Linked DNA regions of Xenopus tropicalis. The protein of the gene in region 1 purifies or fractionates together with the protein of each later gene. This does not show direct contact. Links are inferred from orthologs where the notes say so. Each region holds a gene or a part of one and is shown in the gene's direction. Other genes may lie near its edges. The genes, in order: ptpro, dnajb11 and sdf2l1.

The links.
Region 2: the proteins of ptpro (region 1) and dnajb11 purify together in Homo sapiens (affinity purification with mass spectrometry; 3 studies listed by BioGRID and IntAct, with this or other methods). This does not show direct contact. The link is inferred for Xenopus tropicalis from reciprocal best matches to the Homo sapiens genes PTPRO and DNAJB11.
Region 3: the proteins of ptpro (region 1) and sdf2l1 purify together in Homo sapiens (affinity purification with mass spectrometry; 3 studies listed by BioGRID and IntAct, with this or other methods). This does not show direct contact. The link is inferred for Xenopus tropicalis from reciprocal best matches to the Homo sapiens genes PTPRO and SDF2L1.

What each region holds. Positions count from the first base shown.
Region 1 is NC_030679.2:84,775-93,263, forward strand, and holds the start of ptpro (receptor-type tyrosine-protein phosphatase O precursor), read left to right. Parts: upstream 1-3,913; 5' UTR 3,914-4,096; coding exon 4,097-4,141; intron 4,142-8,489.
Region 2 is NC_030685.2:43,692,806-43,701,539, reverse strand, and holds the start of dnajb11 (dnaJ homolog subfamily B member 11), read left to right. Parts: upstream 1-3,681; 5' UTR 3,682-3,699; coding exon 3,700-3,773; intron 3,774-8,734. UniProt on the Homo sapiens protein: As a co-chaperone for HSPA5 it is required for proper folding, trafficking or degradation of proteins.
Region 3 is NC_030677.2:153,823,358-153,830,601, forward strand, and holds the end of sdf2l1 (stromal cell-derived factor 2-like protein 1 precursor), read left to right. Parts: intron 1-1,344; coding exon 1,345-1,541; intron 1,542-2,087; coding exon 2,088-2,372; 3' UTR 2,373-3,785; downstream 3,786-7,244.

The sequences.
Region 1 (8,489 bases):
GGTATACTCCCTCTTCCTTAAGAGACCCTCTCTCCACGAGATATTAGCAGTACTACACGCCAGATGATTCCCTTTAGGGGTTCCCCCCGGTACTTCTCGCCAGAAGCCCCTCTCTAGGGCACTTCCCGGTACTCCCGCCAAGCGGACACCCCCTCAGCAGACCTCACCCCGGTACTTCCACTTAGATACCCCTGGATCAGGCTAATCTCCTATACTTAACACTTTATACCCTGACTCCAGCTATGAGTGCTGGTGGATCTTAATCCATTACACCTCCTGTCGGGGCCACGCTGCCCAACTAGATAACCTGTCTCCCACTCCTAGAGTGGTCTATAACAATTCTCTAACTGTCTAATGCTAACCTGTGGTATACCTCTTATCCAAGAGGGGTCCCAGGCTGAAAGACCTCAAGGCACATGGCTGCACAACTTTATATACTGTGTGCACCCTGTGGCCTAACTATTGAACTGCAGGGAAGCTAAATCCCAGTTAACCCTTATAGTACCAAACCACCCAAGGTGTCCCACTACTAGGTGTTACCCTCCCTTGGGGTCTATCCTGGGGGCAACCATCCTAGGGGACCCAAATTTTGGGGAACCCTACATAAGGAATAAAAATAACAATAAAACATGAGCCTCACAGAGTAATAGATTTTTGGCTGCCGGGGTCAGTGACCCCCATTTGAAAGCTGGAAAGAGTCAGAAGAAGAAGGGAAATAATTCAAAAACTATAAAAGATAAAAAATGAAGACCAACAGAAAAGTTTGTTAGAATTTGCCATTCTATAACGTATCTCGTTAGGGAATGTTTGTAGTTTCTTTTATAAATAAAAGGCCACAATGACATAAGCTTAGTTCTAGATTTGGACCCAAACTTAAACAGCACCCTCATTCATGTTGGCAGTGCCAGGCTTAGATGGTCAATAGGGTAGTGCGTCAGCCAAGCCAGTAGTTCTTTGGTTTGTGTTAGTATTTCCATTCTGGGGTGGTTGATTGGCTCAGTTTACTTTATAATTTTGAAAGGCTATACTGTATGTCAGGGTTTTCAATTTCAACTTTCTTCTACTGCTTTCCATTCCCAAATGAACAGACAAATGGAGAGAACCAATCAGACACTGGGGCAGTATCTTTGCTGGTTTCCCTCTTATGTAAAAGATAATTGGTCTCTGCATTTTTAAAGGAGACAATTCCAAGTACAGGCATGGGATACGTTATCCAGAAAGCTCCAAATTAAACAATTCCATCCTCCATTTTAATAAAATAATTCTAATTTTTAAATATGATTTAATTTTTCTCTGTAGGAATAAAACAGCATCTATTTGTTTTCAGCTAAGATATAATTAATACTCAATGGAGGCAAAACAATCCTTTTGGGTGTATTTAATGTTTAAATGATTTTTCAGTAAACTTAAGGTATGGCCATCCAAATGATGAAGAGACCCCTTTATTATTATATATAGCGCCGATGTATTTTGCATCTCTATATAAAGATTACCGTATATATACTCCAGTATAAGCCGATCCGAATATAAGCCGAGGTACCTAATTTTACCTAAGAAAACTGGAAAAACTTATTGACTCGAGTATAAGCCTAGGGTGGGAAATGCAGCTGCTACTGCTAAGTTTTAATAATCAAAATAAATACCAATACAATTACATTAATTGAGGCATCAGTGGGGTATATGTTTTTCAATATTTATTTTAAAGAAAAACAGTAAACTAGCTCTATAAGTGGAGAAGAGGGTCAACAAAAACAACAGGCACTGGAGGGTCTGGTTGTGGGGGGGCCTAATTTGCACACAAAGGACAGAGGGTGCTAGTCTGGAGGGACCCATGGCACCCAAGTCAAGTATAAGCCGAGGGTGACTTTTTCAGCACATTTTGGGTGCTGAAAAACTAGGCTTATACTCGAGTATATACAGTACATATAATTTCCTCTGTCTCTGTTCAGACTAGGGAAGCCACAACATTATTAAACCTCACTGTGCTGAATAAAGCTGAGCCAGAAACAAAGAGCACCCAAAGCAAAGTTACAGCCATCACTATTCCCCCCCCCCCCCCGCCCGCCCTACTTGCCAACTGGCAAACCCCAGAGGGGCTGCTTTATAGAACGGTATATGTAGTCTCTATTTATTGGGCTTCTGACTAATTGCTGAAATGCTGAAGCCTATTTTATATTTAAGTCTGGACTTGCCTAGTGCCCCCCACCCCCCATTGTGCTGCCTACCCCTAGTTCCCACCCTGCACTGAACTGCTATATCCCAGCAGCCCCTGTGACTAACGCACAACCCTGTATCTCTCCTTGTGTGGGGGGCTTCTCATGCCCCCATCACACATTCTGCCCCTCTCTATTAGCCCCCTGCAACAGGCACTCGAAGAAATGATCCCAGATCCGGCATCAGCTTGACCCCAGGTGTTTTCTGCTGTACCCAAAATTTAAAGGGGTTGCTCACCTCTGAGTTAACTTTTAGTATGATGTTGAGAGTGCTATTCATCATTTGTCTTCATTATTATTTGTAGTTTTTTTTTGTTCTTTCAGTTTTTGTTCAGCAGCTCTCCAGTTTGGACTTTGCAGTTATCTGGTTGCTAGGGTCCAAATTACCTTAGCATCCAGGCAGTGATTTGAATGAGACACTGGTATATGAATAGGAGAGGACCCTAAACAGAAAAATAATTTTAAAAAACAATAAGAATACAACTGTAGCCTTACAGAGCAATAGATTGTGGCTGCCGGGGTCAGTGACCCCATTTGAAAGCTGCGAAGAGTTGGAAGGATAAGGCAAATCATTCAAAAACTATAACAAATAAATAATGAAGACCAACTGAAAAGTTGGAGTTGGACCCTAATATGTAAATTAGTGGAATCATGGGACAAAAATATCTGCCCCAAATAACCCTACTTTTGGTCTAAATTCACATGATTATAAGAAAAAGGTCAAATTATCATTTTTGGCACTCAGATTTGGCAGAGTTTGGCCAACCAGTGTCTGACCCTAACCCTAATAACCTAACCCCCCTAACCCCAGGGGCCCCCAGAAAACCTTAGCCCATAGGCTCACTCTCCAAACTATTTTCCCTCCTTTCCTCACCCAACCTCTTTATTCTCCAAGTCTCTTTTATTTCCATGCTAGTGCCTATCCTTCCCTCTATTTCTCCTCTTTGTTCCCATACAGAAATAGGGATGGCCATGAAGTAGGCCAAATGATCAGGGGCAGGAGGGCCCACTAATGCCTGGGCCCCCCGGGAGTTTCCCTGGTTCCTGGTGGGCCAGTCCAACACTGTGGCCAACCCTTGTTATAGAGATAAACTGGGTGCAACATACTGACCCTCCTATCTGAATTCCTGGTGTTTTTAAAGAGCACCCAACTAAATGAAACTATAAGGGCAAGGCACACAATTCGATTTTTAAAAATTACTTTTTTAAAAAAGTCGTGGCAACTAATGGGCACAGAAAATGCCCAACTGGTCGCCGCCATGTGTATATTAACCTACAGCTGCTCAGTGCTCAATTACTGTGATTGGTTGCGGCGATGTATATATTAACCTACAGCCACTAAATGAATGCGATTAGTCGCTAATTGCACGGTGTGTCTTCGCTTATAGTTTCATTTTCTTGAGCAGTTTCTCCCAGCTCAGATCTGCCAATCCTGGTGCCAACCATCCTGGTACCCAAGCCCCACATACCAGCCTCCGAGCCCACCCTAGCACCCACCTAGTCCCATCAGCACCCTTCCGCCCTGGCTGCAAACCCACTTTCCTACCGAACCCCCCATCTCAGCATTATCTGATGTAGCCCCATCTCTGCCCCCTGCACCCACCCTTCCCCGGCGCAGCTTATCTGCCTCCAACCCCCAACCATGTGACCGTGACATCACCGTGTGCCCCCCCGCATCAGCAGCAGCAGCAGCATCGGTCCCAGCCTGACAGGCAGCCGGGGAGAGGGAGGGAGGAGACCGGCCAGGATATCGCTCACACCAAGAGGATCGGCCAACCCATCGTTAACGCCAGATTCCCCTCTGATCCAACGGAGAGAGATCCGGAGCCGCTGATCCTTTCTGAGAGCGGCCGTGTCCCCGGCCCCTGCGGCCCGCCGGCATAATGATCCCCATTCTAACCTGGCTCCTCATCATCATCTTCCTGCAGGTGAGAGGGAGTATGGGGCCCTAAATCTTTATTATTCACCCCCGGCCCCAAGAATGCGATCTATATAATGACGGGCGTTATCCCTCTCCCTCCCCCTAGTCTTTTACTGAACCCCCCACTATGGGAGAAGGGACCCCTAATTTGTGCTTATAATACTGAATCCTATCCTGCTACTGACCCCTCTATTGGAGGAGAGAGACCCCCATAATATACAGCCTTTTCTACTTTATAGGGGAATGGACTCATTTCTGTCTTTATTATACAGAGCCCCCCATCCTTCTGCTCATATTATACAGCCTCCCTCATTATCTACTTACTCCTTTATAAAGGAAAGGGCCCATCTCTATATTTATTATATAGAGCCCCCCATCCTTCTGCTCATATTATACAGCCTCCCTCATTATCTACTTACTCCTTTATAAAGGAAAGGGCCCATCTCTATATTTATTATATAGAGCCCCCCATCCTTCTGCTCACCCCTCTATGGGAGGAGGGCCCGATCTGTATTCATATTATACAGCTTTCCTCATTATCTACTTACTCCTTTATAAATGAAAAGGCCCATCTCTATATTTATTATACAGAGCCCCCCATCCTTCAGCTGACCGCTCTATGGGAGGAGGGCCCGATCTGTATCCATATTATACAGCTTTCCTCATTATCTACTTACGCCTTTATAAACCAAAGGGCCCATCTCTATATTTATTATACAGAGCCCCCCATCCTTCTGCTGACCCCTCTATGGGAGGAGGGCCCGATCTGTATCCATATTATACAGCTTTCCTCATTATCTGCTTACGCCTTTATAAACCAAAGGGCCCATCTCTATATTTATTATACAGAGCACCCCCATCCTTGTGCTGACCCCTCTATGGGAGGAGGGCCCGATCTGTATCCATATTATACAGCCTCCCTCGTTATCTTCTAGGACCAATCTCTGTCTTTATTATGCAGACCTCTCCATTCTTCTGCTGGCATGTTATAATTTTGAGCTCTCTGTTGTTCTACCCACCCCATGGGAGGAGAAGGGCACCATATCCATCTTGTATTATATGGGGCTTTATTATTATATTGAACCCCTCTACTAGGGGACGAGGTGCCCATATCCACCCTTATTATACAGGGATCTAGAGCTAAGGTATTACTTGCTTTGCATTAGAGGCAAATAAAACCCCAGAGGCACTTTGTACACTCACAGTTTTAAATAAACCCTCCTATCTGAATTCCTGGTGTTTTTAAAGAGCACCCAACTAAATGAAACTATAAGGGCAAGGCACACAATTCGATTTTTAAAAATTACTTTTTTAAAAAAGTCGTGGCAACTAATGGGCACAGAAAATGCCCAACTGGTCGCCGCCATGTGTATATTAACCTACAGCTGCTCAGTGCTCAATTACTGTGATTGGTTGCGGCGATGTATATATTAACCTACAGCCACTAAATGAATGCGATTAGTCGCTAATTGCACGGTGTGCCTTCTGCTCATATTATACAGCCTCCCTCATTATCTACTTACTCCTTTATAAAGGAAAGGGCCCATCTCTATATTTATTATATAGAGCCCCCCATCCTTCTGCTCATATTATACAGCCTCCCTCATTATCTACTTACTCCTTTATAAAGGAAAGGGCCCATCTCTATATTTATTATATAGAGCCCCCCAACCTTCTGCTCACCCCTCTATGGGAGGAGGGCCCGATCTGTATTCATATTATACAGCTTTCCTCATTATCTACTTACTCCTTTATAAATGAAAAGGCCCATCTCTATATTTATTATACAGAGCCCCCCATCCTTCAGCTGACCGCTCTATGGGAGGAGGGCCCGATCTGTATCCATATTATACAGCTTTCCTCATTATCTACTTACGCCTTTATAAACCAAAGGGCCCATCTCTATATTTATTATACAGAGCCCCCCATCCTTCTGCTGACCCCTCTATGGGAGGAGGGCCCGATCTGTATCCATATTATACAGCTTTCCTCATTATCTGCTTACGCCTTTATAAACCAAAGGGCCCATCTCTATATTTATTATACAGAGCACCCCCATCCTTGTGCTGACCCCTCTATGGGAGGAGGGCCCGATCTGTATCCATATTATACAGCTTTCCTCATTATCTACTTACGCCTTTATAAACCAAAGGGCCCATCTCTATATTTATTATACAGAGCACCCCCATCCTTGTGCTGACCCCTCTATGGGAGGAGGGCCGATCTGTATCCATATTATACAGCCTCCCTCGTTATCTTCTAGGACCAATCTCTGTCTTTATTATGCAGACCTCTCCATTCTTCTGCTGGCATGTTATAATTTTGAGCTCTCTGTTGTTCTACCCACCCCATGGGAGGAGAAGGGCACCATATCCATCTTGTATTATATGGGGCTTTATTATTATATTGAACCCCTCTACTAGGGGACGAGGTGCCCATATCCACCCTTATTATACAGGGATCTAGAGCTAAGGTATTACTTGCTTTGCATTAGAGGCAAATAAAACCCCAGAGGCACTTTGTACACTCACAGTTTTAAATAAACCCACCATGCTTGGATTTGGGTGGCAGTTAGTCCTGGTTTGACCTTTCTGTTTATTTACCTGGGCACTTATGGCCACGTTAGCATAAAGGTTTCAAAACCCATTTGCTATTATATTGGATCCCAACTGGTCTGTCCTGCTTAAGAACTTCATTGGTTGATGCAGGCCCTTCCCTCTAATATTTTGATTAGGCATTGGCAGATCCAAACCTGACAGCCCACAGCCTACAGCCCACTCTCACTGTAATTCAGGACGTCAGGCAGATGAATAGGCCAGACCCAGTAGGCCAGGTAGTTGGATAACAAATTGCTCTTCACTTGTAGCAACCCATGTCTGTCCAAGCTGACCATACATGCCCAGATTTGTTTTGGCAGTTTGGCTGATTTCGACCATACTGTCCATTTATCTGGGAAGGTATGGCAAGTGATGGGGGGGGGGTTCTGTTAAAACAAATAGTCTTGCTATCCCGGTGTCTGTCCCGTTAGTTATTTGGGCAGTTTACCAATTGAAGAGTGGCCATATATGTGCCCAGCCTCTAAAACTGTCAGATAGTCCCTTTGGCTGATCTGTCTGAGTACCATGAATGGCCCCTTTAATCCTGAATGGTTACAGGTCTGTTCCTGGAAATGTTCTGATACTCTGATTGGCTATACACTGGTCTAGCCCAAAGAATGTTCTATTGCTATGACTGGCAACAAGTTGTTCTAGTCACGGCAATGTTCTAATTTGTTGTCTGACTACAGGTTGGTCTAGCCCTGTGAGTTTAACATACATAGTTGGGTAGTTTGGCGGGTAGTTAAGTTGGGTTGAAAAAAGACCAAAGTCCATCAAGTGCTAATGCTCTGATTGGCTGCAGGTTGGTCTAGCCCTTTTTGTGTTTAAATGATCTGATTGGCTGCAGGTTAGTGTAGCCCTTTGATTGGTTGTGGTAATGTCAAATAGAGTTCTACATGCTTGATTTAAGTGAGGTTCAGAGTCGGACTGGCTACTATGTGGGCCCAGGGCACTCCTGGTGTTCTGGGGGCCCAATCTGACCCTCTCTCATGGTCTCATGGAACCTGTGGGGTCGGTTTGATTGTGTTACTTTGTACTTGTGAGTTTGTTCCCCACTTCTGTGTGAGGTGAAGAATTGACGGGCCGGGGGGGGGGGTTCATTCACTCACTTACAGTTATTTAGATTCCACTTATGCAATGTCCATTCGGCACAGGAGTCGGATCAGCACATTCCTGGAAGCCAAGAATTTGTCTGTTGAGCCCTCGGTGCCTGATAACTAATAAAACTGCCCTAACTGCCCATGGTTCAGCCTGAGTCAGATGAGGGCAGATTTATTCATATACAGTGCTTGGTACAGTATTTATAGGGTTAATAGTGAGCTCTGCTGATTGGCGCGGGGGCATGAAGGTTTCGAGGGGTGGTTCTGCTTCTTTTCTTACATTTACCCTCAGTGATACAGAGTGACCCGTCCAGATCCCATCGCAACTTGGTCCTGGGACCCAGTTTGGCTGATTGGTTTCTTCTTAGATGTCCTGGCCCAGACATTGGCAGCTGTTACTGGCAGTTATTTTGCATGTAATACTCTGTAATCCATGAATGTAACTGTGTCATCCGTGTGTAACTAGGTAATCCATGCGTGTATCTATGTAATCCGTCATGTAGGGATTGCTGGTGATTTCTGGAAATCTCCTTTGGTGCCGGAGAGCGGATGTGCCGGTATTGCGGCTGTATTAGGTCCAATTGTAGGAGATTAAACATCAGGCAAGAAATGCGACCAACGTGTAATCCCCTTGTGCTCTCAAAAGTGAAATCCTGTA
Region 2 (8,734 bases), on another chromosome or scaffold:
CAATTAAAGGTGTCTACATTCAGACATATTAGAATATGGCTGCCTATGGGCAGCCAAAGTGGTAGGGCCCTGTCCTGCTCTGCCCTGGGACTGTAGTGTCTGGCTGAGGATAGTGACTGCCATGGTTGCCCATGTTACAGAGGTCAGTCTGGGTGTTTCAGATGAAGACCAACTGCAGATTGTCTCATTGGCCATTTTTTGTTGATTGGCCATTTCCACAGTCATTACAATGGCACAGCTGGGGATAACATTTTTAATTGACATTATTAATGATATTGGCATCTCTAAGTAAATTTGCAGAGTATCCATCTTCTGTAGTAATTATTCTTGCACGTCTAGGTTTATGTTTTGGTGAAACGGGTGTGGGCAAAAAGTTGGTGTAGTTAAAAATAAAAATATTGCCATGCTGCATGCAGCAGAATTATAGGGCCCCACTCTTTGGATTTTGGCCCAGGGCCCACCAAGGCCTTAAAAAGGCCCTGCAGCTTGCTTTCATTGTGGGACTCTTTGTCCCTTAACCTGCCCAGGAGCCAGTGTACCATAATATGCAGTCAACCCCAGACTCTCATTCAATCTACTGCCTGGTTTCTAGGGTAAATAAGACCCTAGCAACTGGATTGCTGTTCAAAACCAAACTGTAGAATTGCAAAGCAGAAACCTAAATAAATGAAAAAATAAATGAAGACCAACTGCAGATTGTCTCATTGGCCATTTTTTGTTGATTGGCCATTTCCACAGTCATTACAATGGCACAGCTGGGGATAACATTTTTAATTTACATTATTAATTATATTGGCATCTCTAAGTAAATTTGCAGAGTATCCATCTTCTATAGTAATTATTCTAGCACGTCTGGGTTTATGTTTTGGTGAAACGGGTGTGGGCAAAAAGTTGGTGTAGTTAAAAATAAAAATATTGCCATGCTGCATACGGCAGGATAATAGGGCCCCACTCTTTGGATTTTGGCCCAGGGCCCACCAAGGCCTTAAAAAGGCCCTGCAGCTTGTTTTCATTGTGGGACTCTTTGTCCCTTAACCGGCCCAGGAGCCAGTGTACCATAATATGCAGCCAACCCCAGACTCTCATTCAATCTACTGCCTGGTTGCTAGGGTAAATAAGACCCTAGCAACTGGATTGCTGTTAAAAACCAAACTGTAGGAATGCAAAGCAGCTAAGCAGAACTCTCTCTTTATATGGCTGGAGTACATAAAAAGTTACCTATAGGTCATGTTAATAATTTTTCACTGATAGGGCTGCTTTTGTAGCAACTGTTTTGCCAACCTGACTGTCCCTTCTCAGCCTGTCATTTATAGCTTCTAATGCTAACAAATGCTTAGAAATGCTTCTAATGTAAATATGGAAGCCCCCTTATAGAGGAACACAGGGGATCAGATAGGTAATGGCAAATAGTTTAATGGCAAAATAATAAAGCTCATGCAAAGACAATGTTATAATATATTTAAAAAATGGTTTAGTTTTAGGTGTCTGTATCACTTTAAAAGGCAGATCCTTTACTCTCCCTGTTGTCTCTCTTTCTGCTCTTCAGATCTGGCTGGTTACTGCAGAAATGGCCCACTCTGTGGTTTGGCTTCAATCCCTGTCTCTATCTGGGTCTTCCTGTTTTCCGAGAGGCAAATTGGATTTCTCTCCATTCTGTAATCACGCTGCATGATGTCACAGACAAAAAAAACAGGGGAAAAGGCTCTTTGATGCCCTACACTATATCAGTTACTGACATTAGTTAATGTGACTTCACCAAGGGTGCTCACAGGACCGTTATGCTGTCCCAGATTGCTCACTGCACATGTGCACATGTATGCACACCATTGGGGAAACTTAAAAACTTGAGGGAATGGCATACAGTGAGAGGAGGCAAGGAGGAGAAGGACCAAAACTAGCAAACTCCCAGGAAACCCAGGGGGGTTGACAGCTATCTAATGATGAGATTGTAGATTACAGTTTATGATGTTTTAGTGCAATATTTATGGTGAGGACTGTCAGGACAATGTAATTGTTTAAATGGATTTTTAAATATACACCTATTATTAGAATTTTAAGAAGGGTGTGATGGTGACATCTATAGATATTTTGTGTATTTTTATTTATATAGCACTACATACCACCAACTGTCCCACTTTCCGCGGGACAGTCCCGGATAGTTCCATGAATGTCCCGCATTTCCGTAATGCGGGACATTCATGGAACTATCCCTGACAGCGGGATGGGCTGGCTGTAGTCAGGCGTTCCTCCTCTTCAGTGGCTCCTCTCTATATGCGGCTCCTTGTTCGGCGGAGCCAGGCCCTTTTATAAGGTTGCGCCCGTGCGTATTGACGTCACACGCACACACGCAACCTTATAAAAGGGCCTGGCTCCGCCGAACAAGGAGCCGCATATAGAGAGGAGCCACTGAAGGAGAAGCAGCAGCAGCATGTATGGAGGCTCTGTGTATTGGGGGGGGGGGTACTGTGTATGGGGGTGCTACTGTGTATAGGGGCTAATGTGTATGGGGGCTACTGTGTATGGGGGCTACAGTGTATGGGGGGCAAAGCTGATACATAGTTATAACTCACTTATAACTGTCTGCCTTCTTTCTATATTTGTATTTTATATGTAGGAGTTGCTATATTGTTTTCCTTAGGTAGTACAGTATACAGGAGAGTATAGCACATTTGCGTCTGATCCCGCCATTTCATCTACTTGTAGATTGTAAGCTCTTTTGGGCAGGGCCCTCTTCACCTCTTGTATCGGTTATTGATTGCTTTATATGTTACTCTGTATGTCCAATGTATGTAACCCACTTATTGTACAGCGCTGCGGAATATGTTGGCGCTTTATAAATAAATGTTAATGTAATATACAAAAGGAGTATTTTTTAAAAAAATGGGGTGTGGTAATTGGGGCGTGGCCACTAAAGCGGGCGTGGTCAAAATCTTTTTGTCCCTCTTTTCATTTTTCAAATGTTGGGAGGTATGGCACTACTATATAGGCAGTGCTGTACAGCATAACAACACATTCAAAAACAAGTAGGGGCCATTAATATAATAGATAAAGGCAGAGTACAATTACAAATAAATAAAAAGTACAGTTGCATTAAATATTCCACAGAGCTAGATGACGTGCATGGAGGTCCCTGCCCCACAGAATTTACAATCGAAGACTATTGAAACTAAAGCTTAAATTATATAGAAGCGTGCCGTGTTGTATTGCATTCTCATGTAAAGTTCTGATTGCATTACGCACATTAACAATCATGTCATTTGGGCGAATTTAAAATTTGCTCAAACACTGCTGTGCTGTTCTTTTATCTTTCTTCTCTATTGACATTATTGGCGTCAAGGCAATTTTTACAGACCAGGCCATAGCCATTCAATGTAAGAAAGCACATAAACGCGCGTTCTATTTCCCGAGGTGCAGGATCAGTCGTATAAAACCATAAGCACGACCATTTACGTATTACTATTGGCTGTACAGCTAAGCATGTACGTTTGCCATGTCTGTGAATATCATTGGACAAAATCACGCGGAAACTACACAGCAAAATCTTCTTATTGGTTATTTATATATGCGTGTCTTATGACGTGCTCCGTTGTAATTGGTTGCGGCGCTGTAGTATTACGTTTGCTTCTGCTTTTCGCTAAATACTCCTCGTTGTGGTGAATGTGAAAATTGAGAAACTTGTCTGTTCCTCGTATCTGAATCATGAAGGTCTGCTATAAATCCACTACCGGTGTTTGCTTCTTAATATTTTACCTGATGGTCATTGTCAGCGGAGGGTAAGGATCGCGTTATTTGCAGTGGTTACCCTTTCATTTAACAGGATTGCATTCATAAAATGTAAATTTGGATTAAATGCAGGCTTCCTTGAGTGGCTGTTTGTAACTTTAAATTTTGACTTTTTGTTTAACCATTAATGTATGTTTTGGCTATTTTATTATAGTTCCTGTGTGTCAACCTGTTTCCACAGACTAGATTTATATGTCATATACTGTATATTACATGTTAGTATGGGACCGAATTTGTGTAACCAAAGGTCTTCCACCATGTTTTTTTTAATTACTTTCTGCAAAAGTCCGAGTATGCTGTAAATCATATTTCACAATGGAGATTTTAAAAAATTGCATTTATGCCAGTGACATGCAGAGTGGGGAAATTAAAGTAAGTAAAATGTAGTGATTGGTAAATGGAACATTTTTTGGTATTTTGTACTATAGATGAAGGGGAAAGTGATAGGAACATAGGGAGAAAGTGATGAGAACAGATATGTCTATGAAGATTTTCATTCATCCAGGTCATGGTATATCTAGTATAAATAAATTTAAAGCAACTGGACTTGTTTGGTAATCATTGAAGACGTTTCACTACTCATCCGAGCAGCTTCTTCAGTTCAACTGACTGGTATGGGAAGTCCTCAGCATATATACTCTAATTATACTTATATACTTCAAGAGTATTTATGCTGAGGACTTCCCATACCAGTCAGTTGAACTGAAGAAGCTGCTCGGATGACTAGTGAAACGTCTTCAATGATTACCAAACAAGTCCAATTGCTTTAAATTTATTTATACTAGATATGATGAGAACAGAGTGAACAAGATGAGGGAAGCAGCAAAAGAATGTTTAACAAATTGAGCTTTAATATTTTACAGTAGATCAAGAAAAGCCTGGTGTTTTGTTTGGTGACTGTTAGTGAAGGTGCAGATTTGGCAACCATTCGTCATAAAAATATTATACAGCAACACTTGGCATTTCCATTGTTTAAAGTAATATGGAATAGATTCATATAATTATTTCATTGTTTTTACTATCTAAATGCATATTATAATGTATAAAACACATTTAGAACAATAGGTCATGAACAATAGTTATGTAAGCCGAAAGTAATGTTAAAACCCGAAAACTTTGAGTTTGAACGGATGTTTCCATGAATCCTCTTTATTTTTCCCAAACAGGAATTACTCCAGCAGCCATTTTAGGAGAATTGGCGCACATTCAAGTTTCACTTGAAACTGGGTGAAATACAAAACAATGATGGGCTTAACTTCCACTTGAAAACGTGTGAAATAGAAGTCAATTAACTTCCCTTTGAAACTACGTGCAACAGAAAACAATGAGGGGGATTAATTTACACTTGAAACTGGGTGAAACAGAAAGGGGGTTTACTTCTCCTTGAAAATGTGTCAAGGACAAGCTGTCACTGACTATTCTATTTTTCTTCTAATAGGACCCAGTGATACATGATAGATCAAACCTGCCTGATTTTTTTTTTTATTACCCCCCTCAAAAAAATTCATAAATCACAAATGATGGGATTATTTTCGTAAAACTCTAATTATACGGGAAACAATATCAGAAAAATCGAGTACTGGCAAAAACCCATTCGTAAATCTGATCGTAATTGCAAATGATGGTGTAGAATTCTGCTGTTAAGAAGTTAAAGGAAATGTATACCCCCAGAATGAATACTTAGCCAGCAAATAGTTTATATCATAATAAGTGGTGTTCTAAAGAATCTTACCAAACTTTAATATATTTCAGTAAATATTGCTTTTTTTACCTTGAGCCATCATTTTGTGATAGTTTGTGAGCTTCCTTAGAGATCACATGGCCAGAAATAATGCAGCTCTAACTGTTACAAGAAATAGTGTTGGAGTAAAAGTCAGAATTTTCTCCATTAATTGGCTGACCTAATATGTATGTGTGCCCTTGGTTTATTTGTGTGCACCGTAAATTGTATGATACCAGGGGGTGGCCCTTAGTACTTATAATGGCAATTTTCTATTACCCAATGGCACATACTAATAAACTTTTATTTATAAAAATGGTTTATTTAGTTGGACAGAGTTTTACATATGAGCTGTTTTATGCAATATGTTTTTATAGAGACGTACATTGTTTGGGAAGTATAGTTTTCCTTTAACTTCCTTCGGCCTCCACTCTAAAAAGTGCAACAATACAAGAATGTAATTCTCAGTAACATTGAATTTTTTTATTGATTTTATTTTTTTTTGTAATTGCAGTTGAATGCATTATTTGCTTATCCCAATATCCCCATCACCTATTTGTTTATCCCTTTATATGCTCTGGCTCTTAAAATAGAGTAACATAAATAAGTTATCCTCCAATTCTGTTAAAGGAGACATTTTATATAAAGTTCATATTCAGTTCTAATATTCATCCTCCCTCAAAATGTGAAATGATGCAGAAAGAAAGATGTTTTGAAAGCATTTTTCCTCCTAAAACTGGCATTATATGAGAGCAGCATACAAAAGAGAGGAGCGAGTAGAGCAGGAATGGACTGTCTGTGAGCTCACTAAGCCCCAACCACTCTATGAATATTCACTTCACTTTAAGTAGGTGAGGAGGGTGTCATAGAAGTCTATGAGGGCCGGTGGCTCTGAGTGATATACTGAAGAGTCTAAACCGGAAGCTGGCATAAGGTCTGGGTAGAGCACAGTTTTCAAGCAGTTATGGACATATTTGAACCCAAAGGTATTAAAATAAAAGCACTTCCTTCTATTTTACAGTTTTTTACATGGTTTAGTGCATTGTAAAAATTTATGCTATATATCCCCTTTAATTAGTTAACTTCTGCTTCATTGTTTCAGGAGTGAGACCCAGTCATACATAAAATATGTAACTATGTTATATACAGTGGTGTGAAAAACTATTTGCCCCCTTCCTGATTTCTTATTCTTTTGCATGTTTGTCACACTTAAATGTTTCTGCTCATCAAAAACCGTTAACTATTAGTCAAAGATAACTTAGATTGAACACAAAATGCAGTTTTTAAATGAAGGTTCACGTTATTAAGGGAGAAAAAAAACTCCAAATCTACATGGCCCCGTGTGAAAAAGGGATTGCCCCCCTTGTTAAAAAATAACTTAACTGTGGTTTATCAGTTTCAATTTTCAATTTCAATATCAATTTCTGTAGTCACCCCCAGGCCTGATTACTGCCACACCTGTTTCAATCAAGAAATCACTTAAATAGGAGCTACCTGACACAGAGAAGTAGACCAAAAGCACCTCAAAAGCTAGACATCATGCCACGATCCAAAGAAATTCAGGAACAAATGAGAACAAAAATAATTGAGATCTATCAGTCTGGTAAAGGTTATAAAGCCATTTCTAAAGCTTTGGGACTCCAGCGAACCACAGTGAGAGCCATTATCCACAAATGGCAAAAACATGGAACAGTGGTGAACCTTCCCAGGAGTGGCCGGCTGACCAAAATTACCCCAAGAGCGCAGAGACAACTCATCCGAGAGGCCACAAAAGACCCCAGGACAACATCTAAAGAACTGCAGGCCTCACTTGCCTCAATTAAGGTCAGTGTTCACGACTCCACCATAAGAAAGAGACTGGGCAAAAACGGCCTGCATGGCAGATTTCCAAGGCGCAAACCACTTTTAAGCAAAAAGAACATTATGGCTCGTCTCAATTTTGCTAAAAAAACATCTCAATGATTGCCAAGACTTTTGGGAAAATACCTTGTGGACCGACGAGACAAAAGTTGAACTTTTTGGAAGGTGCATGTCCCGCTACATCTGGCGTAAAAGTAACACAGCATTTCAGAAAAAGAACATCATACCAACAGTAAAATATGGTGGTGGTAGTGTGATGGTCTGGGGTTGTTTTGCTGCTTCAGGACCTGGAAGGCTTGCTGTGATAGATGGAACCATGAATTCTACTGTCTACCAAAAAATCCTGAAGGAGAATGTCCGGCCATCTGTTCGTCAACTCAAGCTGAAGCGATCTTGGGTGCTGCAGCAGGGCAATGACCCAAAACACACCAGCAAATCCACCTCTGAATGGCTGAAGAAAAACAAAATGAAGACTTTGGAGTGGCCTAGTCAAAGTCCTGACCTGAATCCTATTGAGATGTTGTGGCATGACCTTAAAAAGGCAGTTCATGCTAGAAAACCCTCAAATAAAGCTGAATTACAACAATTCTGCAAAGATGAGTGGGCCAAAATTCCTCCAGAGCGCTGTAAAAGACTCGTTGCAAGTTATCGCAACAGCTTGATTGCAGTTATTGCTGCTAAGGGTGGCCCAACCAGTTATTAGGTTCAGGGGGCAATTACTTTTTCACACAGGGCCATGTAGGTTTGGATTTTTTTTCTCCCTAAATAATAAAAACCCTCATTTAAAAACTGCATTTTGTGTTTACTTGTGTTATCTTTGACTAATAGTTAAATGTGTTTGATGATCAGAAACATTTTGTGTGACAAACATGCAAAAGAATAAGAAATCAGGAAGGGGGCAAATAGTTTTTCACACCACTGTAAATATTTATAGTAACTGTAAAACCATTAACATTTGTATCTAATGTATTCTGGAGAGTTGCTAAGGTTCATATTTTTGAGAATGATAAAAAATCAGTTTTTTTAAACAAAGAACACTTTAAAAAAGTAAAACTTTAAAAATGGAGAACTAAAGCTCAACAAAGTAGTAGGGTAGAAATGCTGCACATTATGTTTTGAGATTTTTTTTACCAGTACAAGGCATCCACAACCATTTAGCAGAAGTTCTGTGACCTTGAAGATGCCCGTAGTTACTATGTTGAAAAAAAATAACCGAAGTCCATCTATTTCAATCCTTCCAAGTGAATCCAGCAAACACACAAACCTAAACTAACCTATCTATACACTCGCATACATAAACTACTGTATATACAGGTATTGGACCCATTAATCAGAATGCTCGATACCAAGGGTATTCTGGATAAGGGGTCT
Region 3 (7,244 bases), on another chromosome or scaffold:
ATTTTGAAAAAAACATGTTTTCCCATGACATTAATACTTTAAAATGAGGTGCATAGTTGGTTCTAAAGGAATTGGGTCACAAAATGATTTTTCGACTTAATTTGGGTCCCCAGAGAAAAATGTTAAAGGAACAGTAACACCAAAAAATTAAAGAGTTTTAAAGTAAATGAAATATAATGTACTGTTGCCCTGCACTGGTAAAAGTTGTGTGTTTGCTACAGTAACTCTACTATAGTTTATATATAATAAGCTGCTGTGTAGCCCCGGGGGCAGCCATTCAAGCTGGAAAAAAGGAGAAAAGGCACAGGTTACATAGCAGATAACTGATATGCTCTGTAGAATACAATAGTGTTTTATCTGTTATCTGCTAAGTGCCTGTGCCTTTTCTCCTTTGAATGGCTGCCCCCATGGCTACATAGCTGCATTCTTTATATAAACCATAGTAGTGTTTCTGAGGCAAAACACCAGTTGTACCAGTGCAGGGCAGCAGTACATTATATTGGAATTTCTTTCATACACTTGATTTTTTGGTGTTACTGTTCCTTTAAGAAACACAGATATACTGATAGTTGCATTGTGTACCTATAGTAGCATACCATGGCAGTTAGAAATACTGCCAGAGCATGCTGTTAAAATACAACAGTTCTGGTTGGGTGACAAACTTTATTAGTGTGGAAAAATATGTGTAAAATTGGCTCTGTGCTTTAAATCACCCATGCAAACAATGTTGCCTTCTGATTCTTTTCCATGTGGATCAGCTTTAAAGGTGGCTTTGAAAAGCATCTGTGTTATTCTTTTTCGCAAGTGCAGGAAGACATTAGCAATGAGGAAATGTTCATATTTGTGCCCTGTATGGTCTGTTTTTTATATATATATGTGTGTGTGTGTGTGTCAGCACATACTGACATTATGGGTAAAATTCAGTTACGAAGTTAATGTACATACACATGAGTTATTTATAGGCTCACACTTATCATTATTAGTGCCGCTTTTGTATGCTTTTCAGATTTCTGGTTATCCTAAAGGTGGGTTCCCTTCTAAATTGCAACTGATTACTGAATGTGAGTCAGGCTTTTCTTCTGTTCATGTATGGTTATTTGCTGTTTGTGAGCAAGTGTAAAACAAGTATTTATATATTTTGCCAGGAAGGCTTCTTTAAGAAACTACTGGTTAAAAAACTAAATGTTTGAGTAATATAGATTTGGGTGCATACAGAAGTTGTATTTCATTATTTGGTATTCTGCAACTGTGTCCCTTAGATCCTTTTTTGAATGCTAATGTAAATCCATGTAAAATATATTGTTGAGTACATTATTACAATTATGTTCTTTTTTTCCCAAAAAGGTAGCGGTCAGCAGTCTGTCACTGGCGTGGAGGCCTCAGATGATGCTAACAGCTACTGGAGAATAAGGGGCAAGACAGATGCCGACTGCTCACGTGGGGAGCCCATCAAGTGTGGTCAAGCTGTCCGTCTTACCCATGTGAACACTGGAAAGAACTTGCACACGCATCACTTCCCTTCCCCTCTTTCTAACAACCAGGTACATATTATCAATGAAATTTGAATCTCTACAGATAGAAACATTACACAAAATCATAGGTAGGGTTGGTTCATTTTTTTGCTGATTGGCCAGTAATGTAGAATTCACCATATCTTAGTAGCAAGACAATCCAGGTTGAAAGTGCCTAAACTCTAGAGTAATTTTGAATACTGAGGTTATGAACAGAAGTTTTCATATCGCTTTAGTTCCTCAAGCTTTTATGAAAGTGTTATGGCTCGCCCTTTCAGGTTTTAGTCTTCTCTTTCAAGACAAGCTGACGTTTTTTCTAAACTAGATAAAAGGTGAGCCAGCAAACTATTTGTTCTTATTATTGCTTGTTACAGGTATATACTTGTATTTGTTATAAATTAATATTGTCCTTGTATCGCTTTAGCATAGGCAGAAGAATGAAAGTGGTTGCAAAAAAAGAGGGCTACTTATGCAGCAGCATCTTGAATATTTGGTCATGTGTGGTCTTTAGAGTGTAAAGAAACAGCATATTTATTTTAACATAGCATCAAGCTTACGTTTAAACTCTTTTAACAGGAGGTAAGTGCTTTTGGGGATAATGGAGAAGGCGATGATCTGGATGCATGGATGGTGCAGTGCAGTGACACACTCTGGGAACGCGAAGAGAGTGTTCGTTTCAAGCACATTGGCACAAATGTCTACTTAACAATTACTGGGGAACAGTATGGACACCCAATTCGAGGCCAGAGAGAAGTCCATGGTATAACTAATCCAAATGCTCACAACTACTGGAAGGTAATGGAGGGAGTGTTTCTCAAACAAAGCTCCCCACCAGGTGCGAACAAACATGACGAATTGTGAAGAACATCAAAACCTGTAAAGCCCCTCTTACTACTGGGGCTCCATGTGCTCCTGGGGGCTGATGTACTTGAACACAGTAAACTCTACTAGGTAGTAAAAATAAACACAGATCTGCCTTTATGAATGATACCAGCAGCGCTTCTAAACTATGTGGCACTATTCTATGTCACTTTTCTGTACAGATTTATTTCTTAAAAGGGATATAGTTTGGTTATTGTGTGTTTTTTTTAGATCTATATTTTTAAACCATTGTTTGTTGTTCTGTTTCTTTTGAACTTGATCCAAACTGTAATTTTTTCAGAATATATCTGTTAGGTGGAAAAGGCATAATAATAACATTTTCAATGCACTTAATGGTTGTGACCAGTGCTCCCTTTGGGAAGAGACTCAAGATGAAGAATTATTTTTACCGTGTTTCTGACGGAACAGTTCACAGCAACCTTCACATACCTACCGTTGGAACATTTAATTGGAAGGTTTCTGCCTGTTACATCTCAGTGGATCTAGATGGAAACTATTAATATAATTCACCAATTTAACATTTAAAAATTCAAAGGACCCCTTTGGCATACAGAATACAAAGCTTCAGTTGTATAATGGTTGAATTTGTCTTAAGAGAGGTCGATGGGCCAAACCTATGGCTCCCAGCATACTCAAATTTTTTTTTGAGAATATGATATTGTTGTTTTATAATAATCAGGCCCACCAAATTAGTAAAATAGAATAATTGGCCCATTGCAAGCAAATCCTGGCTAGCTATGGCTTGGCCTCTAACATCACTATAAACCCATAACATTACAGATTAATAATAATCATTTAATAATGATCATTGTGTTGCGAATTAATGTTTTACAAAAATAAAATAAAGCAGATTAAAACCTCTTTACAGACTCAGACTTGTATAGAGTAATAACCATCACATGGGCTTCTTGGCTGTTAACCCCTTTGACTCAAGTTCTTGTCCTGTGTAAAATATGTTCCATGGTTGTTGATCAACTTGTCCATTGATCTTGATAACCCTAAACCAGCACGAGGAAATTGAGCATATAAATATGACAAACTGGTTGCACACACAATCCTGAAAAACAATGTGGGATAAGAAAAATAAAAAAACTATATGAACTGTAAAGTGTTGTACAGAATTCAAGCTGACCACCTGCCTGTGCTTTTACAGGCTTTGTGTGTGCTGCCAGTTCTACTAGAACAAACAAATACTGTTAACAGCTGTTCTTGGAATATCATGTTATTAGTCCTGAGAATACTTTTTGTTTGCTTTTTATGCCGCACAGACTGAAGCTTTGCAGAGTTCATGTTTTACACTGAACCCAGGTAGATTTGTCAGAATGATTAAGCCATGATGTTACTTGTTGTACTCAAATAGAAAAAAGAGAAATAAAAATTGCACTGGTCAGACTATATTTCTGTTTGCTCCACTTGCATAAATATGCACTAAAGTGTTTTAGGGGTGGGGAAAATGTGTTTTCTTATTTTCAAACCTGTTTTGCATGCTAACATATATCCTATGCTGATTTGAAGTATATAAATCTAGTAGAAAGACTGTGACACGTGAGCTTTCCTGACATTATTAATACAGGTATGGGATCCAATGCGTATTACGGAAAACCTGTCTCCCATAGACTCAATTTTTATCAAATAATTCAGATTTTTAAAATGGATTTCCTTTTTTTTCTGTAATAATAAAACATTGAATTTGATCCCATCTAAGATGTAATTAATCCTTATTGGATGCAAAATAGTCCTATTGGGTTTAATGTTTAATTGATTTTTTTAGTAGACTTAAGATATGGAGATCCAATGTATGGAAAAACCCCTTATCCGGAATACCCTTGGTCCCGAGCATTCTGGATAACGGGTCCTATACCTGTATACAAATCATTAATAATGTATTTTCCTTATTAATTATATAGCACCACAATCTCCTGCAGCACTCTACAGCTTAAGGGGGTAACATTTCACAACCAGAAACATTGTTACAATTGCATTTTGTTGCTTTCTAGACCTTACAATGTAATAGGCAATCAAGTAATCAAGGGTGACCAATAGAGTTGAGGGGTAACAGGGTGTTTGACAAGACCACATGTGAATCCCAAAAGGTTGAGGGAGTGTGTAATGGGCTGGGGGAGGGGGATACAGAATATGGGCGCAGTATTTAAAAAGTTTTAGATGCAGGAGCAAGAAGAAAAGAGGCCCTGTGCAAACCTAAGGTTACATCTATGGGTGAATTTGGTAGCTAGAGAGGTGATGTATGGTGGTGCAACACTGAGTGATTTGTAGGTGGGTACATGAATGTAAGGCTAATGCCAGACGAGTCGTAGGGCGGATATTTTCGGCAAGCGGAAAATCGATTGCCGAAAATACCGCCCTACGCCTCCTACATGTGCCTGCTCCCCAATAAATGGAATACGCTCAGGTGCAGGCACATGTAGTGGAAATACGCATAAAAACGTGAGACTTTAAAACACGCGTTTTTATACGTATTTCCACTACATGTGCCTGCACCCAAGTGTATTCTATTCATTCGGGTGCAGGCACAAGTAGGAGGCGTAGGGCGGAATTTTCGGCAAGCGGTTTTCCGCTTTCCGAAAATATCCGCCCTACGCCTCGTCTGACATCAGCCTTAGATCAAACTTTTGTTTGAAAAATAGTGCAGGGACTGGCAGAGAGGCGTGGCACTTGTGAAGAGGGAGGAGAAGTGTATGAGTCTGGCAGTAGTATTCATTACGAGGGTGTCAGCTTAGAGAGGGGAGTCCGCAGAACAGTATGTTACAGTTCTTTTTAAGGGATGTAACAAGGGCATGGATGGGAATGTTGCTATCTCCTCTCTATTAGAAAGGATTTATTAAACTCAGGATGAGATCCAATATAGTGCAGTGTCCTGAATCCCCAATGGAAAGGGAGTCGAAGGCTGCAAATTGATCAGTTGGAATGTCAGGGATAGAAATCAGACTTTAGTGGGTCCAGTAGGGAGTTCGGTAATGGATAGTGTGAGAGTTCAATGTGTAGATGCTGTCCAGTAATTCTGATAGTTGGAGAGGGTTGTGAGGTCTTTTGGCAATTGCACTTGCACAGTAGACTAACATTTCTGATTTACTATTTGCATTTGCGAACAAGAATCTGCACAAGAACTACCTGGGATGCTGGAAGAAAGGTAAGTAAAATGCAGGTGCTGCACTTACAACATTTTTTGACTTACGGTATATATAAAGAAAAGTCTGATATCTCACTTAAAAAGTTAACCTTCTCATTTGGAAAAGAACAATACCAGGCAGGGATGCCATAATTATGACCCCATACACAGTCCAGTAGGCTTAAAAATCCTTTAAAGAGTCAGCAGGCAGTATTAGACCATGTATGGCCATTATTTACTACAAGTATATTTAAAGGTGTAGTTCACCTTTAAGTTAACTTTTATTGTGACGTAGTCAGTGGCAATATGTAATATCAGGCATACACACCACCGTGCTATAGCAGTATTTAAAGGTGTACTTAATTACATAATGGAAACATTTGTTATATATTTGCTGAGCATGTAATACAATTGTGCTGCACTAATTCCCTGGGTGTTCTCTTTCTTTTCACCCACACACCTTTCTCCTGCTCTGTATAATTATGAGAGCACAGATTCTTTCTGCTAATGTTGATCTATGATTATTTGGCTCCTGTAAAAGGAATCTACATTGTAAGACTAGCAGAAGCCTGCAGACACAATTCTGGTAATTATATTCCATTCTCCTAGCTGTATTTAGAGCTGTTACTGTAAGATTCTGTGGTATGATGATCTAATTGCATGGCTGTTGTTCATCTGTGCCACTGTAGTATGTGGCTTTCTGGCACCAGCACAAAAGAGCACTTGGTAATATAGTTAACTTGGTAAAAGGAATGATTATTCATACTTCTAGAAAGCCCCATCTATTGAGGGATTTATTAGTAATAAAGAACCAAATTGGCTAAGCCTGACTTATTATTTAGTATGTAACCGTATAATAGTAAATGTGTATTGTTAGCTGTTTACATTTTGAAGGAGTACGGTAGATTACCAGTATACAACCCACTGTCACCCTTTGTAGGGACTATTTTGTCCATTATACAGGAATTATTTGTGCACTGGTAATCTAATTATCTACCTTGCAAGGACCAAATGTGACAGTTTCCCTGTTAGCTCAAGAAATAACAAACCATAAATTATTGGTGGTTAAAACAATTGGCAAAAAGTATATTCATTACAAGCCTTACTTACCACATTCACATTGAACTAAAGTTTATTCTTCCCCTTTAAATCATCATAGTTATTATTACTGTGTTTTTATTTTACCTTGGCCATCTCCATGTCCGCTATGTATGGGTATGCTCCTCCCCACTGACCCAAGACAGAAGACCCTCCCCTATCAAAAACTTTAATGCCATCCCACTCCCTTACACAGGTGTCTTTTTGGTCTACTGCCTTGGACCTCGGGCAGTAACTACATTTTTGTTTAAAGGTACAGTTCACTGTAAAACTGAAACTGGGTAAAATAAACTGTGCAAAATAAAAAATATTTGTAATATATTTGTATGTAATATAATGTAAGTGGATGTCTAACATAATAGCCAGAACTCTACTTCCTGCTTTCAGCTCTCTTCCATCTTAGTTAGTCAGTGACTTGGGGGGGGGGGGGGGCACATGGGACATAACTGTTCGGTTAATTTATGTGGGCACAGGTCAGATTCAAATGCAAACTGACTGAACAGTTATGTCCCATATGGCCCCCTCAAGGCACTGATTGGTTACTGACGGCTAACAGCTTAGACAGCTGAAAGCAGAAGTAGAGTTCTGGCCATTATGTTAGACATCTGCTCACTCCAGCCTTTTAT